Linked DNA regions of Rhinolophus ferrumequinum. The protein of the gene in region 2 binds, or shares a complex with, the protein of the main gene of each other region. Links are inferred from orthologs where the notes say so. Each region holds a gene or a part of one and is shown on either strand. Other genes may lie near its edges. The genes, in order: EFCAB2 and DRC1.

Region 1 (11,447 bases), on a different chromosome or scaffold from region 2:
ATCTCTAAGAGGACAAGCCCCAAATCTGGTTTTTTCCCCAGGTCTAGCACAGTCTGGCACAGTAAGTTATGACTGATAACATTTATAGAGCTCTTACTCCAAGTGAAGCTCCGCCCCATGCTTTACCACCTTATGAGGTCCACATTATGAGGTAGGTTCTACTGCACTCATCTGACATGTGAAGAAGTTACAACAGTTCGGTACCTAGCCTACAGTTACCCAGCTCTTAAGTGGCAGAGCTGGAATTTGAATCCATAAGAATTTACTATAGCTTTCATGTTCTTAACCACTAAGCAATACAATCTATTTTTAAATGAAGCCTATGATGAGGAAACAATATGTGCACAGGCCATCGCTTTCATTATGGAAACAAATAAATTGTTCATTATGATGAAGTGTAAAAAGCATGGAGAGTGGTGTCAGACATGTGATCAGAAAAAACCTGGGGAAACTAAACATCCTTGTCAGCTCTGGTTAAATACACACTAAGGTACTGCTCTAAATTAAAGGACACTAAAGAGACACGACGACTAAATGCAATATGTAATCCTGGACTGACACCTGTGCTAGAGGGGGACATGCTATCACAGGCACTACTCACAACTGGGACAACTGACAAAATTAGAATATGGGCTGTAGAATTAGATTAAAAAATTGTCTCTATGTTGAACTTCATAGAGATTTTGCATAAGAGACTATCTTTGTTCCTAGGAAATACACACCAAAGTATTAACGGATAAAGTGGCATGATTATATGTAACATACACTCAAATGTTTCAAGTAAAAAAATATACACATATAATGTTATCTTACATGTTACATTACAAAATGTATTATATTACATATATGAGAGAATGATAAAAATGTGGCAAAATGTTGAAATTAGTGAATCTGGGTAAAGGGAATGTGGGAATTCTCCACTATTACAATTTTTCTGTAAATTTGAAAGTATTTCACAAAATTAGAATTATTTCATAAAATTACAAAACTATTTTTAAAAATGTTTCATTTACACTTAACACACAACACTATGTTAGTTTCAGGTGTACATTATAGTGATTAGACATTTATGTAACTTATAATCACCTCAATAAGGCTGGTAACGATAATAATTAGGGCACGTCACTCTCTACTATCAACTGTACCAGGCATCCCTAAATTCTAAGTCTCTGATTTAAGGTCGTCAGAGGGTAAACTTCCAGTCTTCTAGAAGGGAAGTGATCACCTGCTTACTCCAGGGAATGGAAGATTCAACCACCTGCTTTATGACTTTTATCCAAACCTCCTATATTTACCCTCACTCCACACACATGCCTTCAGAGATGCCTGCTGCCTCCAACCCTGTGCCTTCCCAGGGTTTTACAGATCCACTTGGTTTGCTACCTTTTGGCTCCCTCTTCTACAGGCTTATATTTATTTAGAATTTTATTCCTAAGCAGTTTGTTTTCTAGGCATGATTCTAATTACAAACAGAAGATACTTCCACTCCTATATAAAATTCTCTAGGAGACAGACACAATAAAATAAGATTTAAAGATCCAAAGAATCAACTATTGCATTGATTCTCCATTTAAACAAAGATTTCTTAATGTAGGAAAAAATAAATTATACTATATTAAAGCACAAAAAAGCTACAAATAAGCATAGACTTCAAATGTACATAATCTTACAGAAAATTTTTATAAAAAGAACATAATAGCCCATCATAGATTTAGTTAACTTTTTTTAACCAACATTCTCAATACTTATATCAAGATTAATCCCTAAATGTGGAAGAGCTGGATATAATGGCTACTCTCAGAAACTTAGTTCTCCTTAACAACTAAATAATATATCTCACGATTAAAGATGAACTAGTTAAAACATATGCATATTTCTACAAAGATAATTTTGTGGTGGTTGTTTTTTAAAGACAGGCTAGTGAATACTTTGGCTTTCAAAAATTGTTGAGCCAGATGAAATAAGCCTACCTATAACGAAGAGGAAAAAAAAACCTAACAACAGTTTTATCTACTTTTAGGTAGAAAATAAATTTTGGGGAAACAGCAAGCAATGCTTTGGTTAAAACATAAACATCTTTAATTAATTCAAATGATCTAAATTCAACAAATATTGAGTTCCTACCATGAGCTGAGCACTGTACAAGACAATGAGTATATGGTCCCCGCCCTCTTGAACTTTATAGAGTAATGGATATATCCTCCAAAATTATCCTTTCTTTTGTGTGAATCCATGATCATCAAGCACTTTTTAAAATATAAATTCACCCTCCTTAAAACCTTAATACCCGTGAAACTATATATTTACATTGCAGAGATCAGCTTTCTGGTCAAGACGTCAACATACACTATTTAAGTTAATAAATCATTATTCAGGATTGCACATCACTCTTCATGAGTTTAGTTAGCTTGAGTGACTCCCCAAAGTCTGATCAATTCTGATTAATTGGCTAGATGTAATTTCTAATCTTCAAAGCTGAGAATCAAATATAGGAGTGCAATGTCAATACAAAGATTATCCTCAGACAGCATGTGCCTTTATTTCATCATGCCCTTCAAAATGTAATTATAGTTAACTCAAAAAATTGTTAAGAATAAATGAGATATACCATACAACAGTGCTTCTCAAACTTTAATGTGTATATGAGTCACCAAATCTGTTAAAATGAAGACTGATTCATAGGTCAGGAGCAAGAACTGACATTTTTCTTTTCTAATAAGCTCCCTGTGATGCCCAGGCTACTGTCCACACACCAGGAGCTAGAACACCCCTGGGACAGTATCTGGCATACTGGCTTCTCAGCGCCATTAACTGTTCTTCCCATTGTGGATATCTTATCTCCCCTACAGATCTTACCTTTCTAGGGAGAAAAGATGAGGGCTTTGTCATCTTTATATCCTCCAAAGTTCTAACCTAATCAGAATGCCTTCCATATGATAGGCATTAAATATGCCAACTGAATGAATGACATACAGCTTTTAACAGTCATTACTTCTTCTATACTTATAGACAGATTGTTTCTCCCTCTGAATTATTTTAAATAATGTATTTCAAAAATATTTCTGAAAACTGAAAAATCAGAAAAGCTCTCAATCTATTTTTAAAGTAAAGAAAAAAATTGTATTTGCAACATAATCCAGTGCTTTGTTTCTCATGCTGACCTAATCAAATCTTTTGCTAAAACACAAATATCCACAAGTAACTTATCTCCTAATGATTGTTTACATTTTTGTAAGAATTAATTAAAATAACTAAGTCATTTGGTTTTCTGAGTTTTAAAAAAAACCGTACAAATAATAATTTTATTAGAATGTACCTTAATGCAGTATGATAACTTATAAGGACATCTTAGGAACGTTGACATCTATATAAAATAATTCTGTCCTTTCAGACTAAGGGTACCATGAAAAAATGAAATAGTATGACTCTTATCTATAGGCAGATCTTCGCAGTTTTTGTGCTTCCCCGCTGAATTTTCTGTGATCACCATGACAACTGACTATCTCAGAACTGGCTTCTTCACTTGTAAATATTAGTTGTTAACCTGAAACACTTTGTTCCATGCTGAGAAAAAAGGCATGTTGATAGGGTGTGCTTAGATCTCTCAAAAAAGGAAACAGAGGTGGAATGAATTACTTTCATTTCTAAGATGTGCACCTCTACAGTTATGGCTTGATGTTGGTTTTGCGATGAGTCTGCCAATTCCCAAACATAAACAGACATTTTCGAGTAAGAGGATGGTAACCCAGTATTGGATTATACTGTTCAGTGAAAACAAAGGTCTTGCAAATAAACGTGGATAATCGCTTCTCCGCACAAAAGAACACATCAATCCTTCCGATCTAGTGACCAGGAGCCTGGAAGCCCCGTCCTTCCACGTTGGCCGCGCCCGTGACCGGGTTGGCGGGCTGATGCGGCCGCGAGCCCGCGGCAAAGGCCGAGTCGGCGCACGGGAGCTAGTGCGCGTTCCCGCTCGATTGCTCTGTCGTCTTTATTAACATCGTGTTTTGTTTTGTGTTTTAAAACAAAACCCCAGACGGGTGGGCGCAGCCGGTAGAGCAGAGGCATTTCGGAGCCTAGAGGCGCGGAGGGGACAACTGTGACCTCGAGGCCGTCCTCCCATGTCCCCGGTGAGGAGGCAAAATGGTGGCCGCGGGAGCCAAACGCCTGGGGAGGGGGAGGGGTTGCGGCGCGGCCGGAGAGGACCCGGCGGCCAGGCCCGTCCTCACCCAGGACGGCCCGGGGACCACAGCTCCGGAAGCTGCCGGCGTGGCGCCTGCGGCCCGGAGAGCCGGGGCGACGGTTTGGAAGCGGGGTCCCCGCGACCGTGAACAAGGACGCCATTATCGCCCTACGCCGCCAGTGCCTCGGCCGCAACCCAGGCTGGAACCGTGGCTCGGTCCCCCGAGGGAGGGACGAAGAAGGGGGACGGGAGGAACTGGGCGGGCGGGGCGGGGAGGAGACCGAGGGGGGCGGGGCGGGGAGGAGACGGGGGCGGGGCGGGGCCGAGGCGTGGGCCGGGGAGGCGGCGGGAGCCGGGGAGAGCGGCCCCCTCCGCAGTCACCGCGCCCTGCGGTGGGAGTTCCAGATGGAGGGTCACCCGGCCCCACCCGGCGCTCCCCTGCGCGGCCCGGGTCGCCGCGGGCGGCGAGGGCAGCCTCTTACCTGAGTGTTCCCTTTCTTTATTGTCCGCCATCTTGTGCGGAACCCGTTGCCCGAGAGACGACGGTCGTTAACCGAGGGCGCGGCGTCCTTGCCCCTCCAGCCCCCGCGGCGAGTCGGGCCTGGAGGACCGCTGCTCGAACCCGGAGGGAAGGAGACCCTTAATCGGGGGAAGGGGCGACTCCGAGCACGCGCCCTTCCCCCACTTCCCGCCGCGACCCTCGCGCGCCTGCGAGACCCGAGCCCGGTCCCGCCGCCCCCCGCGCCGCTCCACCGGCTGGAGCACTTTCCCCGCAAAAGCGGAGCCTCAGCCCTGATTTCTCTGACGTAGAGGAGTTATTTAATAAAGTTCCGAAAGCCTCCTTTCCTTTATTTTTGATGCATTTGGGGACATCAGACACACAGCTATCGCCCACCCCTCCTGGGACGACGTGGCGTTACTCGATTTTTATTTTTGATTTTTTTACTGCAGATTTTAAAACGCACCTGGAGAGCTGGGTGAAGCGCCCGACTCCCGAGGGGGTGACAGAACCCCCCCGCAATCCCGCCTCCTCCCCCTTCCCACCCACCGCCCGCGTCGCGCTGGGAAGCGGCTGGCTGCGGCGCAGAGGCCGACCTGCCCCTGCTCTTGCCGTCCGCCTTTGCTCCGCTCCAGGCATGGCTCGCCGCCGGCTCCCAGGGACGGCGACTGCACCGCCTATGGGAACTGGAGCTAAACGCAAAACTCGGCCGGGTGCAAGAGGAAATCAGAGCCATTTGACTGTTATTACTTGAAGAAAGAAATAGCTGGAGAAAAACGTGTGCAAAATAGGTTGCGTCGTCAAGGCTGCAATTTCTGATACGGAATAGGTTCTCCTAGCGACAAAAAACGTGCCCGAGTTGTGCTTATTGCTACAATAGGTTAAGATGTTCTTAGTTGTGAAATTGGACTTGACCTCTAGTTAAAGTTACTATGGAAAAGTCCTACAGCCCGCTTTTCTGAAACTTGCAACTGGAACATGATGTTAAATTTTGGTCTCTAAAATTTTAACGAGAAGTTCACTATACAAGAATATTTTCTTTTTAAGATGATTTTTGAATAATATGCCTAATAATGAGGGTCAAACGAATATGTATTTTTAAAACTAATCTTGGATGATTTTTTTAAGTGCATATGTGTACTAATGTAAATGACTTGATGTTATGTAAAAACAGTAAGAGGCCTTCAAAATACAAGGTATTCTATGATTTTACTGTTTTTATGCTTTTTATTAATTCTGGTTCTATAATTTCTCAGTAAACCCTAAAGCAAACTACGATTTTTCTTTATTAAAGTAAGTACTTTTTCTATAGAAGATATTCATGTGGTGCTGTGATCAGCATTCTCTTTGAAACTGAATATAAACGATGGCATCATCACAAATGGCTCATATTCAAAGATAGATATTTATAAAAATGAATACAATTGTGTACAGTAAATTCTTCACACCCAAAAATATGGAAAGTAATCATTAGCATTTATATGTAAATGTCATAGTCATTATGGTCTACTTATTTGTTTAAAGAGGCCCACTGGCCATATAGATAATGAAGGGCTTTGAAATAAATGTAGAAAACCAACTTTGGTCTCAGGTTTATTACCTATACCTATTTCCTGTGCCTTTTCTCCTATGCTGTTTTGCATTTCTCTTTTTCTGGAATGCCTTTCTCTTCTCTCTCCCTACCCCAACATTCACCCTCCCACAGTCACATTTGTTCCCTCCTGGTTGTCACTGACCTCCTTGGAAGCTTTTCCTGTCAACCTCTTCCTCTATCCTGTACTCATAGAGCATCTCACATTGATTGTCGATGACTTTGTTTTGCTAAAATACAAAATTCAACCAAGTAAATTTGAAGGTCTAATTGACTGTAGTAAGCGATTCATGAATTGGGCAGCAACCCCGGTAGCAACAAGAAGGGAGCTCCAATGAATTGTACAAAATGGAAGGTTTTATAGGCAGAAAGAAGGTGGCACTAGGAAGTTAAGAGTAGGTTATTTCAGGCAAGGACATCATCCCTTAGAGGAAGGCAGGGTGTCTAATCATGCAGATTACCTAACTGGTGTTGGTCAGGAAATTCCAGACTGTTTTCAAGTTTCACACCTGGGAAAGACTGAAACTGCAGTTAAGTTAAGTTATTAAGTTTCAGTAACATGGCTTAGCAAAAGTGACTCCATTTTGGCCTGTTGATTCTTCTTTTAACAGTTTATTTGCTTGTTTCCTTCTACCAAACTAAGCTCTTGAGGATAGCAAACGCTTTATTTGTCCATATATCCCCAATGCCTAGAACAATTTTTCAACTTTTGTGTCTGAAATAATATGTATTTTAAAAATTAAACCAGGAGTTAGTCTTGTCAATGATTGAGAAGCAAAGTTTATTATTTAGATTATTCCAAACCACATTAATCTCTACTTCTCTGAATTCCCACAGCATATTTAATACAATACTGTTTCTCTAAGTTTGACTGAGTAAAAAAAAAAATTTAATAGATGTTAATTAACCCCTCCCCCCAATTAGGTTTGAAGACAAGAGCCTAATCACCTTTTATATACCCACAATCCCTAGCCTAAATTGGGGCACATATTAGAAGCTTAATATATACTTTTCAATTGATTAATTAGACGTAAAAGTATGTAATTATTCTGGAAAACTTTCCACGAAGTGAGAAAATAACCGAATAACACAATAAAGGCCCACAATACCAATGAGTAATTATGTGCATTATGCTGATATTTGACTCAACTTTCCACTTTTCTTTGGTTGTGGAAACTTGACCTCCAATTTTAACTTTTTTGAAATATAATTAGCTCACTTAGGACAATGGCAAACTACAACCATTTCTTTTCCTTAGAATATATTTCGTTTCCGAACTATAGATTGAGTAACTTTGTAATATTATATGCTGCTAAGGCATTCTTTCACTTAAGAATCTCAGTGATTTTGTCAGAAATACAGAATTGGAAAAATTATTTTTGTTCCCATTCATGGATATATAACCTTAGGACTAAATCAGAAAAGCAAGAGCATAGTTTTAGACTGTGACACTTACTTGATCAATTATTCAATGGGGACAGATGGCTATGAAAAAGTTCTGTCCTTTTGCATGTTTGAATGTACTGTGAGTTAAATCTTTTTCTATAGGTGTTAGTTCCGTGCCCATGAGGGACACGGGAACTTCTGTTTCTTCTGAATACAGTTGATTCAGTTACCTAAGATATGGGTGAAGTGGAATGGGTAATGGTGTGAATAATGCAAAATGATAGTCAAAAAAATCTTCATATTTACTTTCCTCATATGGCAATCATTGAAATCTCCTTGGACTAGGCAGGAATAAGCTGAAAAAACAAAAACTGGATTTTCCTCCGTCATTGCCAGAACTGACCTCCTGACCCTAGGCAGGTCAGGTCATATAATCTCTAAAACTTAGTTAACTCAGAAAGAGTCGCAGCAATGTCCAAACTACCTATCTTAATGTTTTCAAGACACTCAATAGATATAACCAGAAGTTTTGAAAAGAACCTGCAAGGAAATCTGCTCTCGTTAAATGAAAAAAACCCCACTTCCACGTAGGAAAGAGCCCTTAAAGGTCAAAGCCCAACTTCTTTCCTGAGATTCAGATTCCACTTGGAGAATTTGCTTTTCCAATGCTTCAGCTACACAGTGGGAGGTGGTCTGACTCCGGGCCTCTGCTGCCTACGTGACAAGATCTATTTTACATGATAGAGGTCACCATCTTCAGTGTGTGGCCCCTTCCTGGTTTCCATCTAGCCATTTTTAAACCTTACCAAGCAGGAGTGACCTTAAGCATATCTAGAATCCTTGAGCTCTAGACCCAGCAAAATAAGAGGGAGGGAATTGCTTCTCTGGTCTGATTCCCGTTTCCTAACTGAGGATACAGCCCTTCCCTGGATAATTCACATCAAGAATGCCCAGCCCCTCAAGGAAGACTCTCGACACCTACCCAGAGTGCAAGTAGCCTTACCCTATGATCTCAAAAGGAAAACCTTATCAGAATACAACAGAATAACAGTTGGGTTTCATTACAGTTATAAAAATAAAAATAACTCAAAAGAGTACTTTGTATACATTATCTCTTTTAATCCCTATAAGGCTGATACTAGTATCCCCGTTTAGTGCTATACTGCTTCTTTATAAATTCAAGATAACATTGTTCTATGCTATTTCGTAAACTGAATATCTTAAGAAGAATGTTAAGGACAAAAATTCTGGGCAGAATTAGTCAACTTCCGCCCCTACTATTATTTTTTTTTTTTACTGCTTCAGAACATCAACTAAAACAACTGGCAGAGACTCTTAGGGACTTGAAGGGAACCAGATGATGGCATGCCCTTTGTCCTTGTTTGACCAGACAGTTAAAGACCTGGCGTCTGGATGGCAGGAGAGGAGGTGAAACTCACTTGTCCACCGTGATCCAGTGGTCTGCTTACCTTCTCTTTCCTTCTCACTTTCCTGCACATGGAGATTTCAGGCCTCAATGGGGTTGAGGAGGTTGTGTTAAATTCTTGGCCCTGGACAAGAGCATTTTCAGTGCCACAGTTCCTTCAGGCTTTTCAGGGAGACCCAGAGCAGGAAGCTGGAACTGCAGCACTGGGGGCAGCTTGCAAGTAAATCTTACATGAATCCACAACTCTTGAAAACATTTGGAAAAATCACACTCTGGGCCCTATTTCTGTCAAAAACACATGTTTCTTTCTGATTCCTTTAAAAACACACATCGCCACAGCAAGCCACTGTTTAATTCATTATTACTTAAACATTTCCTGTCCTGAGAGCACTTTGCAGGGACACTCATTGCTAAGCAACTTTTGGTGAGTCTCTGCTCTTTATTCATTGACAATAAGACTTGAAAGGTAAAGGCTGGGAGCTGACCCAGAGAGTCAATAAATGTTTATGGCTGCTCACATCACCTCTTCCTGTTTACGTGGGAAAATAGAGAAAAAGTATAGAATTATGCTGATAATTGGCTTTGGGATGATTTTTCAGTTCCTGCTTCAAAAAGAAATTTTTGAAATTAAGTTTCATTTATGTTAATGTTTATGTTAGGAGATAATGCTGTGTAGAAGAATCAAGCAAATAGTCTTAGGAGATAAATGGGCCCAGAATTCAACCTCAGTCCTTTGCTCATTTATGCTATGACTTTGGATATGTTATTTCTTCTTTGTAACCTCAGTTTCCCCATCTGAGTTTACATGGAGGTTACATGGAGATAAGGAGATTGACCATTTGGGATATAGAGGCAACCTATAATTCTCGCTGCCTCGTTGCTTCTGGCCTGATGTAATTTCTTTGGCCTATGGCTATGTGACTCTCTTAGGGCTCTAGGACCAATAGCGATACTAGTCGGAGCAGTTACTATTTTCTAGAAACGATGCCAAGCATTTTACACGGACCACCTTACTTAATCATCAAAATAAGCCTATAAGAAGGATACTAATACGATGCCCATATTAAAGATGAAGAAACCAAGAGTTAACATTCCCAAAGTGCTTCTATCTCCTCTCCGAAGAGTTAACATTCCCAAAGTGCTTCTATGTGAGGAAATGTGGCTTTTCTCCTGCGGAGCCCCGAAGTCTCTCCTGAGATTCTGCCTCAGAATCTTATTCTGCATTTTTCATTTTCTTCTTGTATCAAGACCCAAGGCTTCGGCCTGCTCTCCTGTCTCTCAAAGGAGGCCTTGTCCATTCAGGGGGCTGAGGAGGGAGACTCTGAAGGGGGCTGGAGCATCCCTCTAGCTCCACTCTCCTTGCTACCCTTCAATACAACCATGTGGGCATTTTTTAAATTTCAAGGGTTTCACTGATGACCTAAAGAGACAGGATAATAAAATTAACAAATGAGGATGTTAGAAACATTCTGAACTCAGAAAATGTTTACAGATGTTGTTCCTGATTCATAAAGTTCTTGACTCTGTCTAAGACGGTAAGAGAGTGTGCCAGGTACATGTGGCTCTTACTTCTCCCCTACTGTACCAATAATTAGTTTTCCTTCGCAGAGTTTACACAAATTAATGACAGTCCATGTGGCTCTTACAGGACAAAAGAAAAATGGCCTATGGGGATAAATACATAGTTACAGATATATTACAGATGGACTTTTTAATTGCAATCTATAATCACCAAACAGATACTAAAAAGTAAATTTGTAATATTATTTTACATTACAGACAATTCCAGTACCCTTTGCCGCTTTAGAATTGAGGGGGAAATAGCTCAGTGCCATGCCTCACCTTGACTCTGTAGGCCTGGCCTGTGATCATGTCCATGTACACTGAATAAAATGCCTGTGACTAACAGATGAGACTAAATATTCATGTGACTTGAAAGCTAACTCCTTGATATTAATAAAGTTCCACATTACCCAGTAACTGCCCTAGAACAGGGATCTGTAACCCCTCCCCCAACAGAGGCCATCACAAAGCCAAATAACACAAACATACGAAGATCAAAATCTTCACAGGTTTTGCTGGGTTGATTTTCATTATACTTTGTTGTTGTTTTTTGTTTTTTTCAGGTCAGCTACAGCTATATTTTCAAGAAGGAAAGGAAGTGTGAGATTTGGAGTGAATAGTGATGACAGGAGAGAGAGGTTAGAAAGGAAGTTATTTTTAGGAAGGCTTGGATGGAGAGGGAGAGTCCTTTATGCACAGGGAATGAGGGTCAGGTAGTGGAGAGCCAAGGGAAAACTGGTTACCTGGTGAAGGGTTTAACTAGTTCTCTATTCCCTCTCGTTTCTTCTTACATATTCAC
Region 2 (10,592 bases):
TGAACATGTTAGTAATTGGTCTGCCTAGGACTTGCTGTGTTCATGGTAAATAATGTAGCCTTTATTTTATCTGGTTATGTGTGGTATATGTATATACATATTTAATATGTACACATATATTCTCTGTGCATATATATGTATGATATATTCATATAAATATGCGGTCTGCTCTTGATTATCAGCGAAGTGGTAAGCCCTCATTACACTTTACTCATGTTGACTTAATCTGCATGTAGCCCATTACCGTGAAGCCTCTTCCCCACTTGGAGCCACAATCTTGCCTACTTCCAGTTCATCTCAGCCCTCAAGAAAGGCCCTTGAGATATATCACTTTCCATTTCCCTTTCACCAGGGATTATGGGAGCCAGGAAGACCACTTCTGAGAAAGATAGCTGCTCCCACCAGGGTTGAGTCTTCTGGGTCTAGACGATGATGGGACCCACTCCTGGCCAGAAGTCAGCTCTGGGAGCGCTTCTGCTCCTGAGCTTGATGGGGGAGGAATCTAGCTCTTGCAAAAGTGGGGCTTCACAACTTGCTTACATTCCTTAGCTGGAATGTTGTGATATCTTAGAAAAGTCTTTGATGTACAGCTAGAGTACAGCCATGCATTTCATCATTGTTTTTGCATCTCAAGTCTTTGATGTACAAATGAGTACAGCCATTTCACCATTGTGTTTGCATCATCAGAATTACTGTTCCCCATTGTTGGTCCAGATAATCAAGACCTGACTGTTTCTTGCCACTGGATTCTGGAAGCCTTGCCCTTTCAACTGTATTTATGTTTATTTCTGCTGCTGTGAAACTCAAAAGTAATGCAGTAGGTTTTAATTTAAAATTGTTTAATTCTATTATTGATAAATATTTATTGTAATAAAAGTAAAGAGTAAGTAATTTTTAAATCCTTTCAGTTGTTTTCAGATTGTCTTCTTTGTTTTTCCTTGGTAGGTACAAAAGGGGAGGGAGCTCTGGGGAGAAAATTAATGTCCAGCCACTTGTCTCAAAGAATCATTGATGTCTTTAGAGCAAAACATTAAATAGGATTTTTTGTTTTGTTTTTTAAGAAAGATCAGCCTTGTTTGCTCCTGGGTGTTCTATAATCCTGTGACTAGTTTCAAAAAGCATAGTTACTAGGCAGTTGGCAGTAGCAACTGTTCATAATGTACTGTTCTTGATTCCCCCAGAAATGGGTACTGGGCAATATATAATAATACCTGGGTCACATTGAAATTAGTTTGTAAGGTAGTTGTTTCATACTCAAAACATTTTCCCATAGAGTGTTAATGTATGGTGTTAATTTTCCAGGCTAATTCCAAGAACCTAATAACCCACACTTAGTACCCCAAAACTATAGTATATGAACGATAAGCTCTTATAAAAACTTTGTTTTTCTAGCATTGCTTTTGAGGAGAATATTTTTTTACATCCTGTTTTTTACATCAGAATTTATTCTTCAGTTCTGGCAATGGGCATTTAAAAAAATCGTAATGGGTTTGAAGAAGGTGAAGGAAGAAATGTCCCAATATGAACCCAGGCTAATTATCCAGCTGTGTGCTCTTAATCCCCTGCCCTCCCAACTTCTTGGTTGCCCTCACAGTTACCTTTCCTTCTATCTGCACATTTCAAATGTGTAGCAAGTACCTGACACACCAGAGGTATGTGCTAGGTCACCACACTTGGGTTTCAATCTAAATTTTAAAGGACCTGGTGCTGCCACCGTGTCTTGTTCCTCTTCTGCTCTCATCCTTTTCCCTCTGATCACAAATTTCCTGAAAGAAAACTTCCTAACTGCTTTCATTTTTCTTCTTGTTTTCATTTTGAGTTTCTCAAGGCCACCCAAACTTTTAATACAACTTTTTTTAAAAAATAAATTTTATTGGGGAAATATGGGGGAACAGTGCGCCTCTCCCAGGCCCATCAGCTCCAAGTCACCGGACCTCAATCTAGCTGTGGAGGGCGCAGCTCAGCTCCAAGTCCAGTCCTCAATCTCCAGGTACAGGGGGCGCAGCCCACCATCCCATGCGGGAATTGAACCAGCAACCTTGTTGTTAAGAGCTTTCACTCCAACCACCTGAGCCATCTGACCATCCCTCTGGAAGCTCAGTGGCAGTTCATTGTCTTCAATCTAGTTGTGGAGGGCGCAGCTCACTGGCCCATGTGGGCATCGAACCGGCAACCCTGCTGCTCAGAGCTTGTGCTCCAACCAACTGAGCCATTCGGCCTCCCCAACAACTGTTTTTTTAACTTATGTTCAACTTTGCAAGCTTTGACTCGGGGCAAGTTACTTATTTTTTTCTAAGCCTCAGTTTCTTCATCTGTAAAATGGGATTAGTATCACCACAGTTACGTGTTATGAATAATGCATGTAGTGTGTTTAGCACTGAGTGGTCTCAGGGAGGTGCTTGATTTCTACTAATACCTAGTTCTCAAGTTTTTTACCTTTGATGTTTTCCCTAAGCCATATGACCTACTCATGACTTCCCTTCCTCCTTTCATACCTTTTGTAGGCAATACATAAAGATGATGATGAGACAGTTCTAAAAATAACTAGAAATGAAGAAAACAAGATTGCCTTCTGAGAATCTATTAGTATAATTCATATCAAATGGGAGATAGGGGTAAACCAAGAAATTATGTAAATGTTTGATGAATCCCCAAATCCCAATTAAGGTGATTCGGTGTGACCTTATGGATGTAGAATTAAGACGTGTGTGACTTAGTATGCCAAAATTTAACCAACATAATTCTTTTTCGGGAAGAAGACTAAGCTGAAGTGAATGACCAGCCTGTAGCATAGCAAAGGAAGCCCATATATCCAGGTTTTGCTTTTGTCACCCAAAACTTCCCCAGGGATGAGGGTGCCATGCCCCAAGGACTTGACCTGTTCAGTCTTTGTGGCAAGTTGTTCCCATCGTGGGCTCCTGAGTCCATTGTATATCATCAAGAAACTTCCCAGTTATAGTTTGATTCCCTTTGTAGGTCAGACACGTAGATGTGCTGGTCACCAGTCATAAAACACACACATGCCCTGTGTGTCAGTTGTAGTTTTTTTGCTCAGATTAGTGTATTCTCTATATGTTTTTCTTTTTTGAGCTTATTAGTGTAAGTCAGTTCTCAAAAGCAAGTCTGCTTTTGGAATATGGGCTACCAGTTGAGGACCAGACTCCAGGGGCCAGTGAATTCTCCTATGTCCCTCCCCCAAAAACCTCTCATCTGTGAGCCCTACTCTTGCTCACTACAGTCTCTTCAGGATCTCCTGTTACCACTCTTTAAAAAAAAAAAAAAATTAAATGAAAAAATAAACTTTATTTTTTGTTACATGAAAAATGATTTGTGTTCTTTGTAAATTTTTTTAGAGAATTAAAAATCATCCATAGACCTAACCCCCAGAGATATCAACTACTTTGTGTTTTTCCCTCATTTTTCTTGTGTACATACTACATATATTTTAAATAAAATTGGGATCATCCTCTACATATTGTGCTGCCTAATCTCTTCCTCTGTAATATATTTTGGATGTCTTTCTAGGTTAGATTTATAGTGGCTACATTGTTTCTCATCCCATGAATGCTTAATTAGTTCCCCTATTGATGGATTTTGGGTTACATCCATAATATTACAGATAACTGCAGTGAGCATACAAATAAATTGTACGTTTCATTAGAAAAATATTTGTTGAGCACTCATGTACATACCAGCTATTGTGCTAGGTGCTGTATGTAACAGTGCTGAATAAAATTGACGTAATTTTAACCCAATGGAGCTGTAGCCTAGACCCATTATCCCCAGGATAATTCTTTTAAGTAGAATTGCTTAGTCCATGCATATACTTAGTGAGAGGTATTGGCAAACTGTCCTAAAAGGTACCTACCAGCAGTGAATGAGTGTCTTTAAAGAGATTTATTACGTAATCAGGGCTGTCTGACCACAAGGAAGATCTCCCAGTTGGTTGGAAGATGGCTGGAGAGAGCCAGGAAAGGAGCCTGGCTCAGGGCTTTTATTGTGGTTAAGGGGTGGGGATGGATGCACACTGTTGGAACCTCCCGCCAGCCAGGGCCAAAGGAGAGAGCACCCAGGCTTTGTTTGTTTGTTTTTTAAAGTCAGCTGCCCAGATGTGGAGCAGAGGGAAAAAAAGCTGTGAAGCTTAAAGGCTGTCAGAAATCAAACAGCAAAAAAGGGAGTCAGATTCCTTATCTGTCTGGAGTGATGGTATCGGGGATACCTTGATGGCCAAGTATCTTATTGATCACTCTCCATCGCTTTTTATGGTACGTGTCCCATGTAACTGCTGATTCCCACTGACTTTCTCATGGCAGCCAACTCCCAGCCGTAGTCGTGCACACACACTTGGATTTGTTTCTCTTCTCAAGGTGGTGCAAACGTGGGCCAGGACCAGTAGGCTTCCTGGTCAGAGCACTACCTCTGATTCCATGGCCCCTAGGGAAGTTTAATACTTGAGGTTACAACTAAAGGGGAGAGAGATTTGACGGATCCCTAAAACCCCAAAGCAAACATACTACTACCCCCACTGCTCACCCCAAGATGTGGGACAAGGATTTGGGCAGCTGTTGGAACTCTTGGCTGTTCCAAGATTTTGGCACTTGCTCCAGAATTTTGGCACTCCTAAATCTATCACTTGTAGACTTGCAAAAAATCCAAAACACCAAAACTCTTTGCCTCTGGGGAGGTCTTACAAAGCGCTTGTCTTCTTTGGCCCCACAATTGCCTGAGTTGAGTAGGCCGAGAGTAGTACCATATGCCAGTTGGAAAAATGGTACTCACGTGGTTGGGACTTATCCAAGGCTGCAGGGCAGGTCTAGGACTAGGACCCGCATTTTCTCACTACTCCAGAGCCCTTTCCCCAGTTTCCCACAGGTCAATGGAACAAGACCCTGTCAAATATCCAGTTTGTTTTTTTTTAAAGGGCTTTAACTCTCAAGAAGAATACTATTTTTGTTGACAACGAGACAAAAAAACACCCAGGAAATAGGGCTTTTTCAAGGGACAATGCTTCCTTGAGGGTTTAATTGTGCTTCTGTACCCTGTTATTTCTCCCGGCCCCCCACGCCTCTGGGTACTATTTCCCTCTGCTCCCCCTTTCTTCTTTCTGTAAGTATGTGATTGAGGGTAGTGGTGGTAGAATTGTCCTAGGTTTTAGCCCTACTGAAAACGGCTACAGGAGACAACAATCCCTTGCTGGGTAAAAATTTATTGATAGCTGGGGGTTTCACGTTCTAGCGGAGAGAGGTGCTCCATGCACAAAGTAGGACCTCAAAAATGAATGGATGATGAATAGATGGATGCGATATACTTTAGTTCAAACTTTCCAAAGAGGCAGTAGGCTCGGAGCAGACCTATTCTGTACCATCCATGAGGAAAGGTCAACACCCATACCCTTAGCACAGCGCTTGGCACAGAGGTGCTCAATAATATCTGATGAACATGATTTTGAGGAATGTTCGTTTGATGAGTGAATGAACGATGAATTCATCATCTGTAAGCAATGAACCACAACTTGGTCCAGCTCTTTAGTCTTCCAGTCTCCGCTAATATGACCGGGCCTTCGTGGTGGCCCAGGACCGTGCACCCCAACTGCAGGAGAGAGCAATAAAGCCCAAAGCTGGGGCACCACGTTCTGAATGCCGGTGGGCGGGGCCTAAAGAACTGCGCGTACACTCACTTCCGCCGCGGGTCAGGTGACTGCTTTTCCCTAGTAACTGCTTGTTGCTAGCAACGCGGCGGCGGTCTGGCGGCGGTCCCCGCGGAGCTGCCTGGGGAGACACCGCTATGAATCCGCCCGGACCCCTGGGGGACCTGGAGGAGACAGAGGAGGAGCATTTATCCGCTTCGATTCTCCGGCCCTCGGTCCATTCTGATAACCCTCAGGAGCGGATCCAGGCCCGGCGTCTCCGCATAGCGGCGCGCCTGGAAGCCCGGAGGCGGTGAGCGGGGTGTGGGCGGGCCGGCCGCGGGACCCGGGAGCCCCGGAACCCCGGAGGTAGTGCGGGGCTGAGGGGAGCCGTTGACCGGCGCTGGAGCCCCTGAGGTGAGGGGCCGGAGTGCCCCAAGTGTGAGCGGGCCTTGTTTCTTAATGAGAGAGAAAACAGGTGCAAGCAAAGTAGGAGACACTAAAACATTTAACACTAGTAAAGTCAAAGGCGGAAATAATAATCCCTTCAGCACTTTTGTTGACTGCCTGCTGCACCAGGCACTGTGGCGAATACACTGAAATGCAGGCCATGCATGGCCTGTCCTCGGAGATGTCTCTCCTTCCTCCCAACCTGCCTTCCTCCACAAGTATTTACCCAGTGGACCTCAGCTATTATTTCTGGTTTCAGTGGCTTATCTGGTTGTGTGACACAAAGCCTCGCTCGTGAAGAGTCTGAGATGGAGAACCTTACCCCTCTCAGGCCAGGGCGTCCCGCGCCATCCATTCAGTCACAGTGGACTGGCTGTCCTCAGGGGTACCAGGAGGCACCTGTGTGACCCCCTGAATTCCTGAACGCCCTCGCTATGTAACAGCACTTACACCTTGTCCGGCTGGTCAGGGTCGGCTGCCCTACCGAGACGGTGGCTTCTCATCTGTGGCCATTGGACACACGGGGCCCAAAGTGGCCTGGCTGTGTTCCAACCAAACTTTACTTATGGACACTGACGTGTGAATTTCACGTAATGTTTATATGTCACAAAATGTTCTTTGTATTTTGATCTTTTTTCCTCTAAATTAATAAAATTCGTGTTTAGAGCTGTTGTAGGTTTACAGCAAAATCGAGTGGAAAGCGCAGAGGTTTCCCATATACCTCCTATCCCCCCCCCCCACACACAAATGCATAACCTTCCCCACCATCAACATCCCCACCAGAGTGGTACATTTGTTACAATTGATGAACCTCAGTGACACATCATTGTCACCCAAAGTCCATGTTGTTTCACTCTTGGTATTCTATGGATTTTGACAACTATATACTGACATGTATCCACTGTTAAGTATTGTACAGAATGGTTTTGCTGCCCTAAAAATCCTCTGTGCTCTGCCTGTTCATCCTGATCATATTTTTTTAACCATTTAAAAATGTAAAAATCATTCTTTGCTTGTGAGCCATACAACAACAGGTGGGTCAGATTTGTCACACAGGCTATAGTTTGCTAATCCTGATATGGTTTATCAGTGTGATGTTCTGTGAGATATCCAGATGGTCCGGATCTATTCAGACTATACTTTGACAGAGATCAGGAGAATGAACACGGCCCCGTGAGTGTGAGTAAATACTATTATCAACTTTTTAAATCTTTTCCAGTCTGATAGGAGGGTAATGATGCCTTATAGGGTTTTCACTTTCATTTTTCTGGTTATAGGTGAAGTTGAACATATTTTCAAATGTCTATTTGCCATTCGTATTTCTTCTGTAAATTGCCTGTTCACACTCTTTGCCACCTTTTCTATTTGGTATTTTGTCTTTTTTTGTATTGATTTGAAGGAGCCCTTTCTATTTTATAGAGAGCAAAATTTCATCAAATATCTTTTACTGGTTTCTCCCTTGACTTTCAAGAATAAAATCGAAAAATTTTAGGAAGTAAAATCATTCAATCTTTTTTCTCTCTCAAACTTTGGTCTTATTCTGAGATGGGCTCTCTCCTGTATTTACTTCTAGTGTTTTATGATTGTGTTTTTTTATATTTACATTGTTAACCATATGAAGTATATTTTTGTATGTGGTATGAAGTAGTACGGAAACTTTGAATATAGATTTTAAGTACTGAAAATAACTTCAGTTTCTCTACTGTTTTCCATCACAGGGAAGCGCTTGGAGACTATTTAGATGGAAAGAAAGAGAGTGAGGAAGATCAAAGCAAGAGCTATAAACAGAAAGAAGAAAGCAGACTGGTATGAACTGGGTAGCAAATGAGTCCTCTCAGGCCTGTGAGACTAGAGAGCTGGGTGTGATGCCATGGTTTTCGTATTTAGACTAGAAGAAACTCAGTAGAGATCAAGTCTCAATAGAGATTCTATTTCTGTCTCTTGGCAGAACTGAGTTTGAACGTTCCCCATTTGGGGAGCTCTCTAGGACTGAGCTTTCATAGTATAATTTCTTATGTGATGCTGTGTCTTCTTTGCTCCCACACTTTTAATGGTATTTATTCACAGGATAAAGTCCAAATGATTTAGCTTGACATTCAAGGCCTTTTGTAGTCTGTCTACATTTGAACTCTCCAATCTTTTCTCCCATTATCACCGAATTTGGGCCTCCACTTTGGCTAGGCCCATCCAGTTACTCACCTCCAGTGGGGCGTGCTTCTTCCTGCTTTGTTCCTTTGACCATCTGGAATACCAAGCTCCTCTCCTCCCCTTTTCCTCCCTTCTCTCCTTTACTCTTTCTTCTCTCCTGACATCAGGTTACCTTCCCACACTTTAAGACCATCTAAGTTCCAACCCTTCCATGAGTTCCTCCGCAGCCCAGGCTGAACTTTAATTCACACATTGAGCCCTTTTTGTCTATGGAATTCATTTCATCTTGGATAATTTTCTGCCTTGTATGACTTTTCCAATGTGTGTGCACACGATGTCCCCAATGAAATTATAAGCTCTGTGAGAGCGAGAGCCTGTTTGTGTGCCTGTGGAGTAGTGCATAACTTAACAAACACGAAAAAGAAAATCGATTGTCTCCCATGGCAATGACAGGGCTCCTGGGATATTTAATAAAGGACTTGGAACAAGAGGTGCTGGAGGGATAAAAACACCAGTTCAAAATAGCAAGCCAGACCTGGCAAAGTGCCGCATTGAATTAATTGTGAAGTGAACTGCATAGACAGTGGTACTGTAGGAATTGAGATACGCAAAATTGCTAACTAAGCTGGTTTGGTCAGGGAAGGTCATATGGAGAAAGTGGGATTTGAGCCAGGTCTTAGAAAAATAGGTGGGATTTATAAAAGTGGAGAGGAGAGAGATCATTTCTGGCAGAAATTGAAATGTACTTAACTGGGAGAAAAAATATTCAAGCTACTGAAATATTATTACAGAGCATAGAGACACATGGAGAATAACCTGTACTGTACCGAGTCCAGGATGAGATATTTTACTGTAGTGGAAAGAATATTGAGCTGTGGTGGGTTCTCAGTCCAGACCTGTTGCTTACTGGGAAGTACATGAGTCATGTCACCTCTTTGTACCTGGGTTTCTCCATCTAAAGGGTCAGTGATCTCTGAGCATTTCTGTGTAGGATCAAAAGGATATTATACGTAATCTTGAAAATACTGTTATAGTTTATATTGATATAATCTTGAAAATGCTGATATACAGTTCATCCTGAGAATGCTTTAATTGAGTATAAAACCAAAAGGATGATATTGTTTTCATTAGCAACTTTTCAAGGTTCCTTTCACTTAGGACTTAAGTCATGAAATGCATTGTCATCAAGGAGAAATGTATACCAAAAAATGTTACCTTCCACAATATCAAGGCATTAAAAACCAGTTCTGCCCTAAGACCTGGGCAGGAGGGGCTCCTGTCCTTGGCATTGTACCTTATTAATCATTTTTAAGGATAATTCTTTTTGTTTTTTGTTTAATCTTCATCTACTCCAAGTTGATGAGGCTATTCTTCCGTATTTTCTTTTACTGGAAGAATAAAACTGTTCTACTATTTACATTTTGGTCTGTAATCTATCCTGAATTGATTTGCGTGTGTGGAATAAAGGTAGGACTCACAGTTTTCAAAAATCTAATGAGAAGTGTCTCCAGACACCATGATGTGTGGAAATGTGGCCTTCCAGGTTCCCCAAAATACTCTGCGGTTCGGGAAGGTGGCACCATGGTGGTTGAAAACCTACCTCCTGGTTTTTCCGCCATCAAGGTCCTTCATGTCTTTCTCAGCAACCTTTGCCCTCCTCCCTGCTTCCGGTATGCCCATCCAGGGAAAATAAGGTGGAAATGAAGACTGAGGTAGCCTCTAAGGGAAATAGAAGTTACAAAATCAGTTTTGTGAAGGCGGAAAAGATGTTGCATTTTTTACATATTGAAGGCAAGACACCCCACCACCAAAAAGATGAATACTACACACTTCATTGTGATGGTTTGGAAATGAACCCATAATATCTCTGAGTTCTTGGGGCTGCTCCAGTTTCTTCCCAGCAGCCAACCTGAAGTGGGGACTTCGTCGCTTCAGAACCTCCACTCCCCCTACTTCAGTCTTCACTGTCAGCCCTGGCCCCCACCCCAACCCTTGACAGTCACTACCCACACCCAGAGTGACAACTACCTCCACGGAAAAGTATGACATGACACTGTTAATTGCTAACTTGGTTCACACGTGGCAACCCCCAGGGCTGTTGACATCACACTATATAAACAGTGTGACTAGCTCTGGACAAAAACAGTAACTGCTTACATACCTTTATACAGACAAGGTGGTTTTACCTACTCCCAAACCACTCTAATGAAATGACATGGCTTAAAAGAGATGGAATGTTTCTGAGCCACCTGAGCTGATTGTATCAGGCAATTTCAGCCAAATTCCCATTACTAGGTAAGTCAATGAGTCAAAGTTACCAGGGCTGAAGGATCAGGCATTCAACCATTCAGCAAATATTATTGCGTAT

The links.
Region 1: DRC1 (region 2) and EFCAB2 share a complex: the UniProt entries of both Homo sapiens proteins name them as parts of the nexin-dynein regulatory complex. The link is inferred for Rhinolophus ferrumequinum from reciprocal best matches to the Homo sapiens genes DRC1 and DRC8.

The regions. Positions count from the first base shown.
Region 1 is NC_046310.1:16,396,306-16,407,752, forward strand, and holds the start of EFCAB2 (dynein regulatory complex protein 8), read right to left. Parts: upstream 5,393-11,447; 5' UTR 5,279-5,392; exon of another isoform or gene 5,149-5,278; intron 4,796-5,148; 5' UTR 4,697-4,795; coding exon 4,666-4,696; intron 1-4,665. UniProt on the Homo sapiens protein: Component of the nexin-dynein regulatory complex (N-DRC), a key regulator of ciliary/flagellar motility which maintains the alignment and integrity of the distal axoneme and regulates microtubule sliding in motile axonemes.
Region 2 is NC_046296.1:54,079,145-54,089,736, reverse strand, and holds the start of DRC1 (dynein regulatory complex protein 1), read left to right. Parts: upstream 1-5,696; 5' UTR 5,697-5,784; coding exon 5,785-5,939; intron 5,940-7,794; coding exon 7,795-7,882; intron 7,883-10,592. UniProt on the Homo sapiens protein: Component of the nexin-dynein regulatory complex (N-DRC) a key regulator of ciliary/flagellar motility which maintains the alignment and integrity of the distal axoneme and regulates microtubule sliding in motile axonemes.